3 linked regions of the Neurospora crassa OR74A genome follow. The protein of the gene in region 1 purifies or fractionates together with the protein of each later gene. This does not show direct contact. Links are inferred from orthologs where the notes say so. Each region holds a gene or a part of one and is shown in the gene's direction. Other genes may lie near its edges.

The links. Proteins that work in one complex are often made in the same cells at the same time.
Region 2: the proteins of NCU04348 (region 1) and NCU07393 purify together in Saccharomyces cerevisiae (affinity purification with mass spectrometry; 4 studies listed by BioGRID). This does not show direct contact. The link is inferred for Neurospora crassa OR74A from reciprocal best matches to the Saccharomyces cerevisiae genes BMS1 and NOP14.
Region 3: the proteins of NCU04348 (region 1) and NCU01367 purify together in Saccharomyces cerevisiae (affinity purification with mass spectrometry; 4 studies listed by BioGRID). This does not show direct contact. The link is inferred for Neurospora crassa OR74A from reciprocal best matches to the Saccharomyces cerevisiae genes BMS1 and RRP9.

What each region holds. Positions count from the first base shown.
Region 1 is NC_026504.1:3,692,367-3,697,421, forward strand, and holds the start of NCU04348 (ribosome biogenesis protein), read left to right. Parts: upstream 1-1,606; 5' UTR 1,607-1,706; coding exon 1,707-1,785; intron 1,786-1,843; coding exon 1,844-1,914; intron 1,915-1,980; coding exon 1,981-4,581; intron 4,582-4,638; coding exon 4,639-5,055. Other genes in the region: NCU16822 (hypothetical protein), read right to left, coding at 1-88, 150-259, 331-477. UniProt on the Saccharomyces cerevisiae protein: GTPase required for synthesis of 40S ribosomal subunits and for processing the 35S pre-rRNA at sites A0, A1, and A2.
Region 2 is NC_026501.1:6,086,148-6,091,236, forward strand, and holds the start of NCU07393 (rRNA maturation protein), read left to right. Parts: upstream 1-1,548; 5' UTR 1,549-1,651; coding exon 1,652-1,951; intron 1,952-2,010; coding exon 2,011-2,457; intron 2,458-2,515; coding exon 2,516-4,504; 3' UTR 4,505-5,089. Other genes in the region: NCU07394 (hypothetical protein), read right to left, coding at 1-396, 450-822. UniProt on the Saccharomyces cerevisiae protein: Involved in nucleolar processing of pre-18S ribosomal RNA. Has a role in the nuclear export of 40S pre-ribosomal subunit to the cytoplasm.
Region 3 is NC_026505.1:3,790,379-3,795,619, reverse strand, and holds NCU01367 (rRNA processing protein RRP9), read left to right. Parts: upstream 1-1,700; 5' UTR 1,701-1,887; coding exon 1,888-3,777; 3' UTR 3,778-4,093; downstream 4,094-5,241. Other genes in the region: pcb-4 (proteasome component C11, variant), read right to left, coding at 300-501, 588-837, 912-1,069, 1,126-1,127; NCU01366 (hypothetical protein), read right to left, coding at 4,588-5,241. UniProt on the Saccharomyces cerevisiae protein: Involved in nucleolar processing of pre-18S ribosomal RNA. Required for efficient pre-rRNA cleavage at sites A0, A1 and A2, and biosynthesis of 18S rRNA.

The sequences.
Region 1 (5,055 bases):
CTGGGTCCTGACCTCCTGGTCGGCCTCGACGCCCTTGACGTGCTCGTGGTTCTCAAGGGTGAAAACAGCGCCCTCGGGATAGATGGCCCTGCAGTTAAAAAGAGAGGGTCAGCTCTTGTGTCTAATTCTGAAGACGGAGGCTGTCATACTGGAAGGCCTTGATGAGGGTGTACTCGTGGCCAATCTTGCCGCCCTGCGCCTTGACGTCCTCCTTGGTCTTGGCGATCTCCTCATCGGTAGCGGTGTCCTTGAGGGTAACCTGACATAGTGAACAGCTGAGGTCAATAAGAGTCTTATGGGTAGTGTGAGGCGCGAGTGCGGCATGCTTACAATGTAAGAAGGCATCTTTGCGGTGGTGGGAGGGTTGTTTGGTGAAAAAGTTGGTGTTGCTGTATGGAAATGTTGAAACAGAGTGTAGTGGTTGGTCGTGAACTTGGAAAGTCGGTACTGCGTCTCGAGGAGCGGACGAAGGAGCATCTTATACGTGATCAAGGGACATGCACAAGTGGACTCGAACTACCTACACCACAGATGCACATGTGCCAGATAAGCGGCAATCATGCTAGATTGGTCTTCCTGCCACGCCGTCAGGAGCCACAAGTGACGCGGCACCAGGGACATTAGCATTCTCTGGAGCGGATGATACGTCATATCCACTTGGACCAGACTTGCTGCGCCTACCGCAGGTCGTTTTGTGACTTGTGACACTCTTTTGGCTGCCAGGCGTGGGGATGACAGAGACAATCCTTCATCTCAGCGCCCAACAAGACAGCCTTGCACACAACCACCTAACGAGCGCTTAGGCGCGGGCTGAGACACTAGGAGTGGTGTGGGAGGATGGATCCAGTCATCTTCCGACCATCTTGCTACTCAGGATCTTGGATGTTGTTACCTATCTGTTGTAACTCTGAGCCTAGCCTATACGCCATACCCTCCTCATGTGTGTAAATCGGAAACCCTCCTTCCCGCGACAATTACGTATGTAACCCTCAAAATGGTGTGTTATGCAAGAAGGGCTGCCATGGCCCATGGCTGTTTGACTTTGCGGGCCCATTCGACGTTCCTATGTCGAGGCCGCAAGTTATCAACTATGATAGCTCTTTCATGGTCTCGACTCTTCTTCAACCGTTTGTTGGGAGGTCCCTGAACAATCCAATGCATTTACATAGCGTGGTATGTAGTCTCCACCAGTGAGGGAGGGCTTGGTACAATAGAGGTAGTTAGGTTGGTCATGCTCAAGACAGCACAAGATATCTCAACCACCCAACGGAATATCTTCGTATAAACCTTTGGAAATAGTTACTCCGAAGACACAGCTCACCCAGTAGTTGGTTGAAGATAAGAAACGGGACTATACGTTGGGTTCGTCTGTTGTTCAAGGTTCCAAGACTTGAAGGTCGGGACTGCCTGTCAGGGTCTCCAACTCCCCGCATGCTGCCACTGCTTAGTAGCGGGTGCTGCCGGGGATAGGTCCCGTCGCCTGCCGCGGAAAGAGGTCCCACTATTCAGGTATCTTATCGCTTATCGATAAACGTCTTGGCGTTCCATCAGAAAACCGACTATCCAAAAAATTTGGACAGCAGCTTTTTGGCAGCAGTTGAATTGGGAGCGAGTCCCGTCGCATTTCCACTTGCACCTGTTTTCGCGACCGCGTGTCCATCTATACTACTGAACTTGCAAAAAGTTCACGGACACCAGCCGTAATCATGGCCGACGTCCAAGCCCACAAACCCCATCGGGCTTCCAAGAAGTCCAAGGAGAAGGGGGCCTCCAAGCATACAGGTGGTATGTGTATTCAATTGTTTCTTTTATCGTTACTATCCACAGCTGACCGTCCCTGCAGAAAAGAACCCCAAGGCCTTTGCCTTCTCCAATCCTGGTAAACTCGCCAGACAAGCCGCCAGATCCCACGATGTAAGAAGACATTCCCTCGCTCCATCCTTCAATGACTTCTTATAATTAACTGGTCTTGTTCCGCAGATCAAAGAGAAGCGTCTTCATGTCCCCGCCGTCGACCGTCTCCCCGATGAACCACCCCCAAGACTCGTCGCCATCGTAGGCCCCCCTGGCGTAGGAAAGACCACCCTTCTCAAGTCTTTCATCCGACGATATGCAAAGGAAACCATCCAAGATCCGGTGGGACCTATCACGGTCGTCACCTCCAAGAAGCAGAGATTGACCTTCATCGAATGCGCCAACGAACTCGAGGCCATGGTCGATATTGCAAAGGTCGCCGACATTGTCCTTCTCATGATCGATGGAAACTTCGGCTTCGAAATGGAGACTATGGAGTTCCTTAACGTTCTTGCCGCCACGGGTATGCCCGGCAACGTCTTTGGCATCCTCACCCATCTCGACCTGTTCAGGAAGCCCCAAGCACTAAAGGAGGCAAAGAAGAGGTTAAAGCACAGACTTTGGAGCGAACTCTACCAGGGTGCCCACCTTTTCTACCTTTCCGGTGTCCTGAACGGCCGTTACCCCGATCGCGAAATCCACAACCTCTCCCGCTTCTTGTCCGTCATGAAGAACCCCCGCCCGCTCGTTTGGCGCAACTCCCACCCTTACACCATCATCGACAACTACCGCGATGTCACCCACCCCACCCAGATTGAAGAAGACGAGAAATGCGACCGAACGATTGAACTCTCCGGTTACCTCCGTGGTACAAACTTTTCCGCCGAGGGCCAAAGGGTACATATTGCTGGTTTGGGCGACTTTACAATCAAAGAGATGGAACAATTGCCGGATCCTTGCCCGACTCCCGCTATGGAACAAGCGCTGGCCAAGGCCAGTGGCAAGACTGGCAGAAGGCGACTCGACGAGAAGGACAAAAAGCTCTGGGCGCCCATGGCGGACCGCAGCGGCTTGAAAATTACTGGCGATCACATCGTTATCACTAGGGAGAACGGCTTCACATTTGACAAGGATGCTGTGGGCATTGAGCGCGGCGAAGGAGAACAGCTCATCATCGACCTGCAGAACGAGAGGCGTCTCCTTGGTCAAACGGACGAGGGTGTCAAGCTGTTCGCGAGCGGACAAAAGATCAACCAGCTCCCTGTCGAGGACGAGGATGTCGGAAACACTGGCCGCAAGAGCCGAAGAACCGCCAGACTTGCCGATGGTGAGAGTGGTGAACCGCCAGAGGACGAAGGCTTCGAAAGCGGAGAGGAAGATGAGATGGAGGATGGATCCGATGTCGAGTCCGAGTTCAACGAGATGAAGCTGGGCAAGATGTTCAGGAAACAGACCGACGACGACCAAGAAGAGGACATCGCCTTTGCCGACAGTGACTCCGACCTTGGTTCGATATCCGGCGATGAAGACCAAGGATCCGACTTTGACGATGACGAGGACGACGAGGAGGATCCTGAGCTCAAGTGGAAGGACAACATAATGGAGCGCGCAAGTCAGATACACGGAAGGAGGAAACCCTTCCGCGCTGTCGACTTGGCGAGGTACATGTACGACGAGTCGATGGCCCCCACAGAAGCCATCAAGAAATGGGCCGGTCAAGACGACGAGGAGGAGATCGAAGAGAATATCGAAGAGGACGACGAAACCTTCTTCCGGAGGACTGGCAAGGAGGACAAGGAGGACTCTTGGGAGGATCGCATGATTCCCAAGTTCGACTACGAACAACTAGAAGCCAAGTGGTCTGACAAGGACGCTGTCGAGGCTCTCCGAAACAAGTTCGCCACCGCCAACCTACTTGACGACGCTGAGGGCGAGGGCGAAGATGGTTCGGATTTCGAGGGTCTTGATGACGAGGACGACGATGATGAAGGTGACGGTGCCTTTGAGGATCTCGAGACAGGGGAGAAGCACGGCGCTGACGACGAGGATGAAGAAGAAGAAGAGGAGGAAGGAGAGGAGCAGCCAGCAGAAAGCCTTGAAGCCGAGCGTGAGAAGAACGCCCGCCGAAAGGAGGAGCTCAAGCTTCGCTTCGAAGAGGAAGATCGTGAAGGTTTCAAGAACGACAAGGCGATTGCCAGGCGAGAAGGTGGCAATGATGACGAGTTTGGAGAGGACGACTGGTATGATGCTCAAAAGGCCATGATCCAGAAGCAGCTCGACATCAACAAGGCGGAATACGAGAACCTTGATGAAAGCCAAAGGATCGCTGTCGAAGGCTACAAGGCCGGCAAGTACGCCAGGATGGTCATCGAGGGTGTCCCAGCAGAGTTCGTCAAGAACTTTAAGCCACGGATGCCGATCGTTGTCGGAGGTCTTTCGGCCACGGAGGACAGATTCGGCTTTGTGCAAGTTAGAATCAAGAAGCACCGTTGGCACAAGAAGATTCTCAAGACGGGAGATCCCCTCATCTTCTCCCTCGGCTGGCGCCGATTCCAGTCTCTTCCCATCTACTCCATCTCTGATTCTCGGACGAGAAACAGGATGCTGAAGTATACTCCGGAGCACATGCACTGCTTCGGTACCTTCTACGGCCCCCTGTGTGCCCCCAATACGGGTTTCACATGTTTCCAGTCCTTCTCTTCCGCCAACCCCGGGTTCCGTATTGCGGCTACCGGTACAGTATTGAGCGTAGACGAGTCTACCGAGATCGTCAAGAAGCTCAAGCTGGTATGTTACCCTCCGCCCTATTGTGTATGGTGTTTTTGATGCTAACAACTCGTCCAGACCGGTACACCATACAAGATCTTCAAGAACACGGCCTTCATCAAGGACATGTTCAATTCGGCGCTGGAAATCGCCAAGTTCGAGGGTGCCTCCATCAAGACCGTCTCGGGTATCCGCGGTCAGATCAAGCGCGCACTCGCCAAGCCCGACGGCCACTTCCGTGCCACCTTTGAGGACAAGATCCTGCTCAGCGACATCGTCTTCTTGCGCGCGTGGTACCCCATCAAGCCGCACCGTTTCTACAACCCGGCCACCAACTTGGTCGGCTGGCAGAGCATGCGTCTCACGGGTGAGGTCCGCCGCGACCAGAACATCGCCACGCCGCTCGACAAGAACTCGCAGTACCGCAAGATCGAGCGCGAGACCCGTCGGTTCAACCCTCTCCGTGTGCCGCGTGCCCTCGCGGCCGAGCTGCCC
Region 2 (5,089 bases), on another chromosome or scaffold:
CGAAGTCGTCAGCCCCCTCTTGGGACATGAGACCACATCTGACCAGCACCGACCTTCCCGATCCAGTTTTGCGCACCGCATCCGCAAGCCTCTTGATCTTGTTGTCCCTGTACAGCATATAGTTGTGGAAGTTGCGCTGTCTGTCTTCCTCAGTCCTGCCCCAATTTTGCCTGGATAGCCAACGCTCAACGAACTTGGAGCGGATCAGCATCTCTGGCCCGTAATGATCGACCAGCTGCTCAAGAAAGATGAAGCACATTTTTTCGGTGATATCCCTCAATGGATAATCGTCCCATCCATCATTCTCGAGAACCTCCTGCTCCGGGTCGAGGGAGAGCTCGAGGCACCGGACTATGGCGGAGTATGCTTTCCAAGTGTGAAGCATGGGGAGAACTCCTTGAAGCCGTGTTAGTGAGTTGGAAACTTTCAAGCAGTGTTGAGATACTCACGAGGGACGCAGATGACAGCCAGAGCCCTCAAGTTCTTGACACGCTCGTCATAATCTGGACGGGTGATGCCCCAGAGCAACGTCTCCAGGAGGCCGGGGTCATTTGCAGCCCTATCACAGATTATCTTGGCAGCCGTCTCCTTGATGGCGTAGTTGTAGTGGCCCAGCAAGGTGTCCAGCGTCTTGAGCTCGAGCGAGTCCTCGGTCTGCTGCGTGATGTACTGCGTCTTTGGCGGATTGGGGGTGACAATGGTCTCGTCTCGCCATCTTGTTAGCCAGGTGTTCATGGCGAAGATGATCAAGCTCGCCGTGACGAAGCCAATGCCGGTGAAGACGACCCTCTCATCTCGGAGAACCGACGATTGCCAGCCCATAATAACGGTATGGTGATGAAAGATGATGCTTCAGCATAGGTAGTTTGACTTTTATGTGTTGTTTTCTTTTTCTTTTCATCACATCGCGACTTTGAGATTGAGACGGAACACTGAAAAAAACCAAAAATAAAAAAATAAAAAAACCATGAGCAGCCCGAGGATGACGATGGAGAGCTTCACTTCTGGTCAGTGGAGTGACACCCGCTGTAGAGCGGGACAGTCTATCCAGGTCCCAAATTTCCCACCCTAAGCATTTAGTCAAGCATGTATCCCAAGACCTTTGTACTTAACAATACATTCAACTTTTTGGATCCTCCACCAAGAAAATTGGGAATTCTTTTATCTTTGCAAGTCAAATACTGCTGGGAAACTCCTTTTCGCAACTCAGCTGGCCCAAAAGGGGGCTTTTTGGGTGAAATGCTGCATCCTGGGTTGCAGAGCACATTTGGTCGAGTGACATGTCTTGAGAACAAAAGAAGTCTGTGCACTTCCTTAAAAGGGTAAGTTTTTGGGACCTGGATAGCATCGCCCGTAGAGCTTCGTCTTTTAGCAGCTACAGTGCAGCACGGGCAGGCCAGGATGCTTCTGCTGCCCGCGCCTGTGGACAATACTACTTGTATGTAGGTAGGTAACTGCCAAGATTTTAGAGGTGGAGCATGACGATAAGATAAGCACCCTTCATCACCAAAATTTCTGAGAAGGAACCAACCGCCAAAGACAACCTATTGATTGCTGGTCTTGCGATCGAACCCGCTTCGCGACGCCCTCCCTCCCTCTTTCTTTCTCAATACTCCCCTGTCAAGTCGACAGTCGAGACATCTCAACAAACATGGCCGGGTCTCAGCTCAAGAGGCTGAAGGCCTCCCTCAAGGACCAAGGCATCATCGGTCCCCAGAGATCCAAGAAGCAAAAGCGCCAAAACGCCCAGGACGCGAAGGCTTCCACCGACAAGCGACTCCAGCGCCACGAAGCTCTCGCCAGCATCAGAGAGCAGTTCAACCCCTTCCAGTTCAAGACCAACGCCAGAGGACCCAAGTTCGAGGTCACCACCAACAAGCCCCAAAATGATAAACTCGCCAAGGGCATTCAGGGCCGCCCCGGCGTTGCGAAGGCCACCGCTGAGCAGAGGGTTTGTCGATCCCACTCAGATCGATTTACTGGTTCTGATGCTAACTGTGCCATAAACAGCGACGGGAAACTCTACTGGTTGAAATGCAGAGGCGCAACAAGGTCGGCGGCATTGTCGATAGGCGTTTTGGCGAGGACGACCCCAACATGACCCTGGAGGACAAGATGATGGAACGTTTCGCGCGCGAGCAGATGAAGAGCCACAAGAAGAACACCGTCTTCGATTTGGAGGGTTCCGATGACGAGCAAGAACAGGTCACCCTTACACACGCTGGCAAGACTCTCTTTGACGACGACGACATTGAGGCGGGTCGTGACGATTTTGACGAGGACGTTTCCGATATGGAATCCGACGATGAGCGGTCAGCCAGAAAGAAGTTCCTCAAGCGCCTGCGCGCTGAGGAAGAGGCCGCGGAAGGTGAAGGAGAGGATGGACAACCGGAGAGGAAGAAGACGAAGAAGGAAGTTATGGAGGAGGTTATCGCCAAGTCAAAGGCCTTCAAATACGTAAGGGGCACCGCTAAGCCGGCTACTTCCACTCATCAGCTAACAGTAATTGCTACAGGAACGACAAGCAGCCAAGGAGGAGGACGACGATCTAAGAGTGGAACTTGACAAGGAACTCCCAGAATTGCAGTCCCTACTCTTCCAGATGAGACCGAAGGAAACGAAGGACCCCAAGGGCCCCTCCGTTATGGCAGGAATCGACATGGACCAACTTGAGAAGGAATACAACATGCGTCTCAAGCAGGCAGCGCGTGAAGCCAGGGCCGAGGTTACCGACAGGACAAAGACCGACGAGGAGAAGGCGGAGGAAGGAGTTAAGCGTCTCAAAGAGATGGAGGAAAAGCGACTCAGGCGCATGCGGGGTGAGATCGTCTCGGATGACGAGGAGGAGGAGGAGGAGGAGCAGAAGAAGGGCAGGAAGAAGGGAGACGACCAAGAGGTACAAGACGAGGCCGACGAGGACGAATTCGGCCTCGGCAAGGGTATCAAGCTACGAATGACCGCCACCGAGATGGGTCTGGACGACGAAGACGATTTCTTGCTCGAAGACGACCTTATCGCAAGCGGCTCTGAGTTGGATATGGACGAGGACGACATGTCGGACATGGACGGGAGTGATGACGAGGATGCCTATGATCCTGATGAGGACGAGCTTGTGAATGGTGGTGAGGACGGCGAGTCGAAGGAGGTGGCCACAAAACTTCAAGCTCAGTCAAAAGGCGGCGACGAGGACGGCATACCCTATACCTTTACATGTCCCGAGAGTCACGAGCAGCTGCTGGAGATCTTGGGCAGCCTTCCCGTGGCCAAACTTCCAGTGGCTGTCCAGAGGATCAGAGCTCTTTACCACCCCAAGCTGGACGCGAAGAACAAGGAGCGCCTTGGAAACTTCTCCCGGGCCCTCATCGAGCATATCGCTTACCTTGGCGACAACTTCGAGCCCACCTGGTTCCCTACCATTGAGAACTTGATCCGCCACGTCCACTCACTCGCGAAGACCTTCCCGATCGAGATATCCAAGGCTTACAGGTCACGGCTTGAGGAGATTAAGGAGGATCGGCCCCTTGCCCTTAGCGTCGGCGACCTTATGCTTCTGACAGCGATTGGCACAACCTACCCTACTTCTGATCACTTCCATCAGGTGGTCACCCCTGCGATGCTTTCCATCACCCGTTATTTGGGACAGAAAATTCCCCAGACACTCGCCGACTACTCCATTGGTGCTTACCTTTCGATCCTCGCCCTTCAGTACCAATCCTTCTCCAAGCGTTACGTACCAGAATTTGTCAACTTCTGCCTCAACACTCTCTGCTCGCTCGCTGCTGAGAAGCCCAAGGAAAAGCTTGGTCTGTTCCCCGTTCACGAGCCCGCTGCTGGCATCCGTGTCAAGGGTGCAAGCAAGGTGACCGTCAGGAAGCTCAACTGCGGTGACTGCCAGCAGCCCAAGAGCGCTCGCTCCACCAGCGACGACTCCGCTCTGAAGGTTGCCATTATCAGCACCATCACCTCCGTTCTCAGGACTGCTTCCGAAACATGGTGCAAACTCCCCGCATTCTACGAGACCTTCCAGCCCGCCCAGCGCGTGCTCCAACACCTGACAACCAAGTCCAACGCCGCCCAGCTCCCTGCAGCCCTCGTCAAGCAGCTTAAGGACGCAACGACAAGCATCTCCCGCCTCCTCCAGCTCGCCCAGGTTTCCCGCAGGCCACTCGAGCTGCACCACCACAAGCCGCTCGCCATTAAGACGTACGTGCCCAAGTTTGAGGATTCGTTTGACCCCAACAAGCACTACGACCCAGACCGCGAGCGCGCCGAGCTGGCCAAGCTGCGGGCCGAACACAAGAAGGAGCGCAAGGGCGCACTCAGGGAGCTCCGCAAGGACGCGGCCTTCATGCAGCGCGAGAACCTCAAGGTCAAGAAGGCCAAGGACGAGGCGTACGAGAAGAAGTACAAGCGCTTGGTGGCGGAGATCCAGGGATCGGAAGGCCAGGCGGCGAACGAGTACGCAAGGGAGAAGGCGGCGAGGCTCAAGAAGAACAAGAGGTAAATGGCTACTTCTTAGAAGGTTCGGGGGTAGCAGTCGGAGTAAGTTTGTGGTTGGCCGTGTTGTTGTTAGTGCCGTTGTTGTTGCTGTCATGTATACATCATCATCAGCGTTCAGTGCAAGTGCAATATTTGGATCATGGGTTGGAGATACCATGTCTATCATATCATCTACTAGTAGGAGTTTTAAGATCATTTCATCATTTGCCAACCCTCAGTACGTACATTATCTACTCCTGATGTTGTTTACATGTGATGTTTACCCAACCCACCAATTTCATCATGGTACTCATCCCTACCTGGAACTTTCAACACTTCAACGAAACTATGTAATTCCGGTTATCGCTATTGATGGCGGAGCCTCATCTGAAGAAAAAGAAAAGAAAAAGCAAACAACAAATAACAAGAAAATGACTGAAGACAAGGAAACACAGCAGTATGGAGTTGCCCTTCGGTCGGCGTGTCCGTCCCGCGGCTATAATTCAAACAATGCCGTTCTTCAATCACTTCCCCCCCTCGTGCCACCCATACTGTACCTCCAGCGCTGGCCCAACGACTAACTACATAGTTAGTTACGACTTACGAACAA
Region 3 (5,241 bases), on another chromosome or scaffold:
CGTATCGTATCGCGATGGTGTCGGTGGCAGGGTGTATGATCGGCCCAGACGCGCTCCACACGCCACACTGAAACCGGGAGCCGCAGAGACGGACTCTCGGACTTCACACCTCTAACATGATAGCCTTGTTTCTTCCTCTCTCTTTCTTTATGATCATCAAATTCGCCAGGGGTCTCCCGTTGGTGGAGGCCACCTGGACTCATGCATTTCCGTCGTATGGGTATTATTATACAGAGTTGTCCTTCCCCCGCAAGGCTTCCCAAGCCGCAAGCAGGCAAGTAAGCAAGCATCCCCACAAATCAAGCCATCTTAACCACCTTGTCGTCGTCGAACTCGATATCGATGATGCCGTCCTTCGTTACCGCCTTGACCGTCATGCCCTTGAAGTCTATGGGTAACCTCCTCTTGAGCTCGTCGGTGCACAGGTTGAGAAGCTTGATACCCTGGTGGAGGGTGATGTCTGGGTGGTGGTGCTTGTCGAGAATCGAGAGGCAGTAGTATCTGATGAGGAAAGAACCGGTCAGTGATTCTGTACATGACTCCTACGCATCAAAGACGGTACAGAGATATCGGTCGAGATCACATACTGTGCGTAGCCGTGGGCGGCATAGGGGACCTTCGCCAACGACGCAAGGTAGTCGAGCCAGTAGAGGCTGGGCTTGTGGGTGATAGGGTCGACACCTCCGAGAAGGAGGTTTACGTTGTAGGGTTTGCGGGAGCGCAAGCTCGTCGCAAGCTCGCCGCGGACAAAGTTGGCAAGGGCAGAAGGGGAAAGGTCGGTCCCGTTGCGCATGGAGTAGAGCTGGGCGTTGGCTTGGGTGTACTCGGCGAACTGCACTGTCGATGGGAACAAACAGTTGGTTAACTTGGTTTGGTTCAAAAGCGCCATCATCACGATATCGCTGCCGTACCTGTGTCGCCAGCTTCACCGGAGAATGCCATCAGTGTGTGCTTGTTCAGCGACCTTGTCTTGTCGTCGGATGCCTTCAGGATGGTCGCTCCCCGCATAGCGGCCTTGGACGCCGCAATGATGGTAAAGTCCTTGCCCGTGATGCCTAGTAAAACCTCCCTACATGCTGATCAGCTCTGATATCACCTCTCCAAGACATGACCGATGCGACGTACATTTTGGCTGATTGTTATGTGAGTGAATGGATGATATGCTGTTGTTTTGGTAAGCTTTGGCAAGTTGCGTTGGCTTGCACGGTTCTCGTCGTTACCTACCTATGGCGGGACAGGGCAGTTGGAGCTTGAACTGACGGCGACGGGGAACGCGCACTGGAGCTTCAGCCTGCAAGCTGACAAGACAAGCACGGGCCAGGCTGTTCAGGTGCCCGCTATCGTCTTCCATCTTTCCATTCCAGTCCCCAGAAGGGCTGAAAGCTGCAACCACTGGGCAGGCAAGCAGACAGCGAGAGAGACAGCCCCACTCCGTCATGAAACCTGCCAGGATGGCCCGGGGACGTCTTTTGGAGACAGCAAGAGCCTCCCCACCAGCCGACTACTAACAGCTCGCTAGCTCGGTTCCGCGTGACAGAGCCCCTATATCTGTTAGTGACGCAATAAGGTAGAGTGCACGGCACGGGGATTCCCTTCTCCGACTCGTTCAATTGTGCCAAGCCAGTGGAGGAGATCTTGACGAATCGGCGTGCTACTCCACCGATAGAAAGCCTGCAGGGTGGGCAACTTTTTTTTTTCTTCGAAGTCCATCGGGTCGGGTGTGTCTAGGCGCGAACGGCCATCCCAAAAATTTCAACTTTGATAGCCATGCAGCAGCGTTGAAGTGAAGCCGAACGCGACCCCAATTCACATTCCAGTGTCATTCTCTACCACCAGACGACTCCAGTGCATTTGCACCGACCGCCCCGGGCCGCAATTGCCAACACCATGTCGTCCTTTTTCACAGCACCCGCTGGGGAAAAGAAGAGGAAGCGTGCCTCTGCCAACGAAGCCCCCCAGAAGCGAGTTGCGACTGGCAAATCGACTGCCAAGTCATCGTCGGTCAGAGGCCCTGCCGCCAAATCACGTCCCGCAGCCCCCAAGAAAGCCGTTGAGCGCGACGAGTCGATATCCGGCAGCGACATTGACAGTGACGATGGCGACCACATTGAGAGAGAGGACGGGTCGGAAGGAGAAGAGGAGTCGGACCACGAAGGAGAGACGGCGGCTGAGAAGCGGTTAAGATTGGCACAGCGATATCTGGACAAGGCACGACAAGAGGTGGAACTGGAGGACGAGTATGCCTTTGACGCCGAGCAGATTGACCGTGATTTGCTGGCCGAGCGTCTTCAGGAGGATGTGGCCGAGGCCAAGGGCAAGGTTTACCGCCAGTTGGCTTCCAAGCTCGACTTTGACAAGGCCGCACACACACAGTTTCGATGGAATTCAGGAACGGTAACATCAGTCTCGGTTTGCGCGCCGTACGCTTACACCACCACGAAAGACGGCTACCTTACCAAGTGGAAGCTACAAGACCTACCCAAGAACCAGTGGCCACAGACGACCAAGAAGAAGCCAAAGAAGCCGCCTGCGCCGCCCAAGAAGAAACCCGAGAGAGTGTGCTTCAACAGGGCGAACCCGATCAAGGCAAAGGACAAGACATACCAGGGACACACCAACGCGGCCATCCTGACGGTCAGGGCCTCTGCCGACGGCAAGTTTGTTGTCACCGGCGGCGCCGACAAGCGAATGGTCGTCCATGACGCCGAGACCCTCAAGCCCCTCCGGGCCTTCACCCAGCACCGCGACGCCGTTACCTCGCTCGCCTTCCGCCGCGGCACTAACCAAATATTTTCTGCCTCCAAGGACCGGACAGTAAAAGTCTGGTCGCTCGACGAGCTCGCCTACGTTGAAACACTCTTCGGCCACCAGGATGAGATCCCCGACATCGACGCTCTGGCCGGCGAGCGCTGCGTGTCCGTTGGCGCGCGCGACCGGACCGCCCGCTACTGGAAGGTTCCCGAGGAGTCGCAGCTCGTGTTCCGCGGCGGCGTGTCGGAGAAGAAATCCCATAAGAACCGGGACCAGGCGGTGAACCACGATGGCACCATGGACCAGGTGGCCATGATCGACGACGAGCTCTTTGTGACTGGCGACTCGGCCGGCACGCTCTCGCTGTGGGGCATCAACCGCAAGAAGGCGCTGTTCACGCAGCCGTGTGCGCACGGCATCGACCCGCCGCTCAAGCCGACCGAGGTGTCTGCCGACGCGAATCCGGACGAGAGCGTGGTGCCCACCCCGCAGCCCCGCGCCATCACCGCCCTCCGCACCATCCCGTACTCGGACGTCATTCTCTCGGGCTCCTGGGACGGCTTCGTGCGCGTGTGGCGCCTGAGCGAGGACAAGAAGAAGATTTTGCCTGTTGGCGTGCTCGGTTCCAGCACGGCGCTGCAGCAGCTTGACCAGGCCGAGGCCCAGAAGCAGAAGGAGGAAGCAAAGCAGAAGGCAAAGGCGGAGAAGGAACCTGCAACCGCAAGCAGTGGGGAGGAGCAAGCGGACGACGAGGCCTCGGTGGATGGGTCGCAAGACAAGAAGAAGAAGCAAGAGAGCGGGCTGATTAGGGGTATCATCAATGACATTGCCATCTTCGAGCGCGGCAACCGCGGTCGCGACGGCATCTGCATCGTGGTCGCCACAGGCAAGGAGATGAGGCTGGGAAGGTGGAAGTACATGAAGGAAGGAAGAAACGGCGCTACTATCTTCGAGGTGCCCAAGGTTGCTAGGCGAGCGGGGGCTAAGGGGGAGGAGAGCGATGAGGAGGAAGAAGAGGAGGAATAGAGGAAGAAGATGGGAACCATACGTACGTTTGTTCTGTCTTGTTTTGTCTACCTCGTTTGACGGAGCGGGACATGGGAGAAACGCGGAGAATGAGGAAGAAGAGAGCCAAATAATCATCGCCTGTTGAAATTTGTTACAAAGTGCTCTGGACGTTATATCGCATTCGCGACAGCCAAGCTGTTCATAGACAAAGGAGAAGGAGAAAGTAGAAAGAGCAAGTATTGTACATACCACACTATATCTTTTAGGTAGCCTCACTGCATTTGAAGGGAGTTGAAAAGTTTCTGGTCATGAATCCATTCCACTAGATTTCCGATTAAGTTGTGCCACACAGAGCCATTAAAATACTATGGAATCTCTCACCAATATATCATCAAAGGGATGGTAAACTTCTTGTAATGTGCTCTCCGTGGAAAAAAATATCAACAGAGGATTGGTAGTTTGTTAGATCACGCTGCGCTACTTCTTCCTCCAGCACAAGGTTGAGGCTCCATCATCTAGCTCGAGACTGAGATGGCCACCCGACTCAAAGGTACTCCTCGAGGCCTAGCTGGACGTCAATACCGCCAAATATTCCGCCTGCATGATAAGATGTACAAGACTTGGGGAGTTCGAGAGTTTCAACTCCAAAACAATCAAGCAACGAGCTTCAAAAAAGACAACGCAGCCATGCTATACCAGCCATCGAGGCCTCAAGACCATGCAATGCAAATGGGCAGATGCATGAATGAATATGCTTACACCAACAATAAACATACAACAATGAACCAATTCAACGCTCTAACCAATCCACATACTCCTGGTCTTCACTCAGTTCTCATCAGTCAAGTCAATAGGCGTCATCTCCGCGCTTTGCACCGCAGGGATGTCAGACACGACCATCGCCGGAGGGGGTGAATCGGGGATCTCCTCGGACTTGGTCTCGGCCGTTTCCTTGGGCTTGCTGGGACGTGGCTGTCGCTGATGATGTTGCTGTTGTTGTTCTACACGGCGACTCTTCCCGCTACCAATTCCGCTTCTATCAGTATCGTCCACAACTCTCCTAGGTATTCTGGACTTCTGGCGGGTATGTTTATCGCTTTTTTTGTAGGTAGTTTTGTTTCCGTGGTTGACGTGATTGTTGTCCTTCTGCTCGGCTTTGACTTTGCTGCTAGTCGTCGACGGTCTTTGAGCTTCAGGAGTCGGGGGATCGAAGATCTCGATCGATTCGAGGGGTTGCGCTACAAGCTCAGGTGAAGGCGCCGTCTTACGTGCGGGTGGTGATGCCTTTGCCTTGCGTGCTGGTGACGATCTTCGCTTCCGTTCGACCAAAGGTGATTGCGGCCTTGGCGACTGTGATTTTAGCGACAGTAGCTTTGGCGACTCTGGTCTCTGCGGGGCGTTGGAGTAGAACGTCTGCGGGCTTATCTCCTGAGCAATACCCGAAGTCCGCCTGTCAGAGGCCGGAGAAGAGTCGGGCAGCTT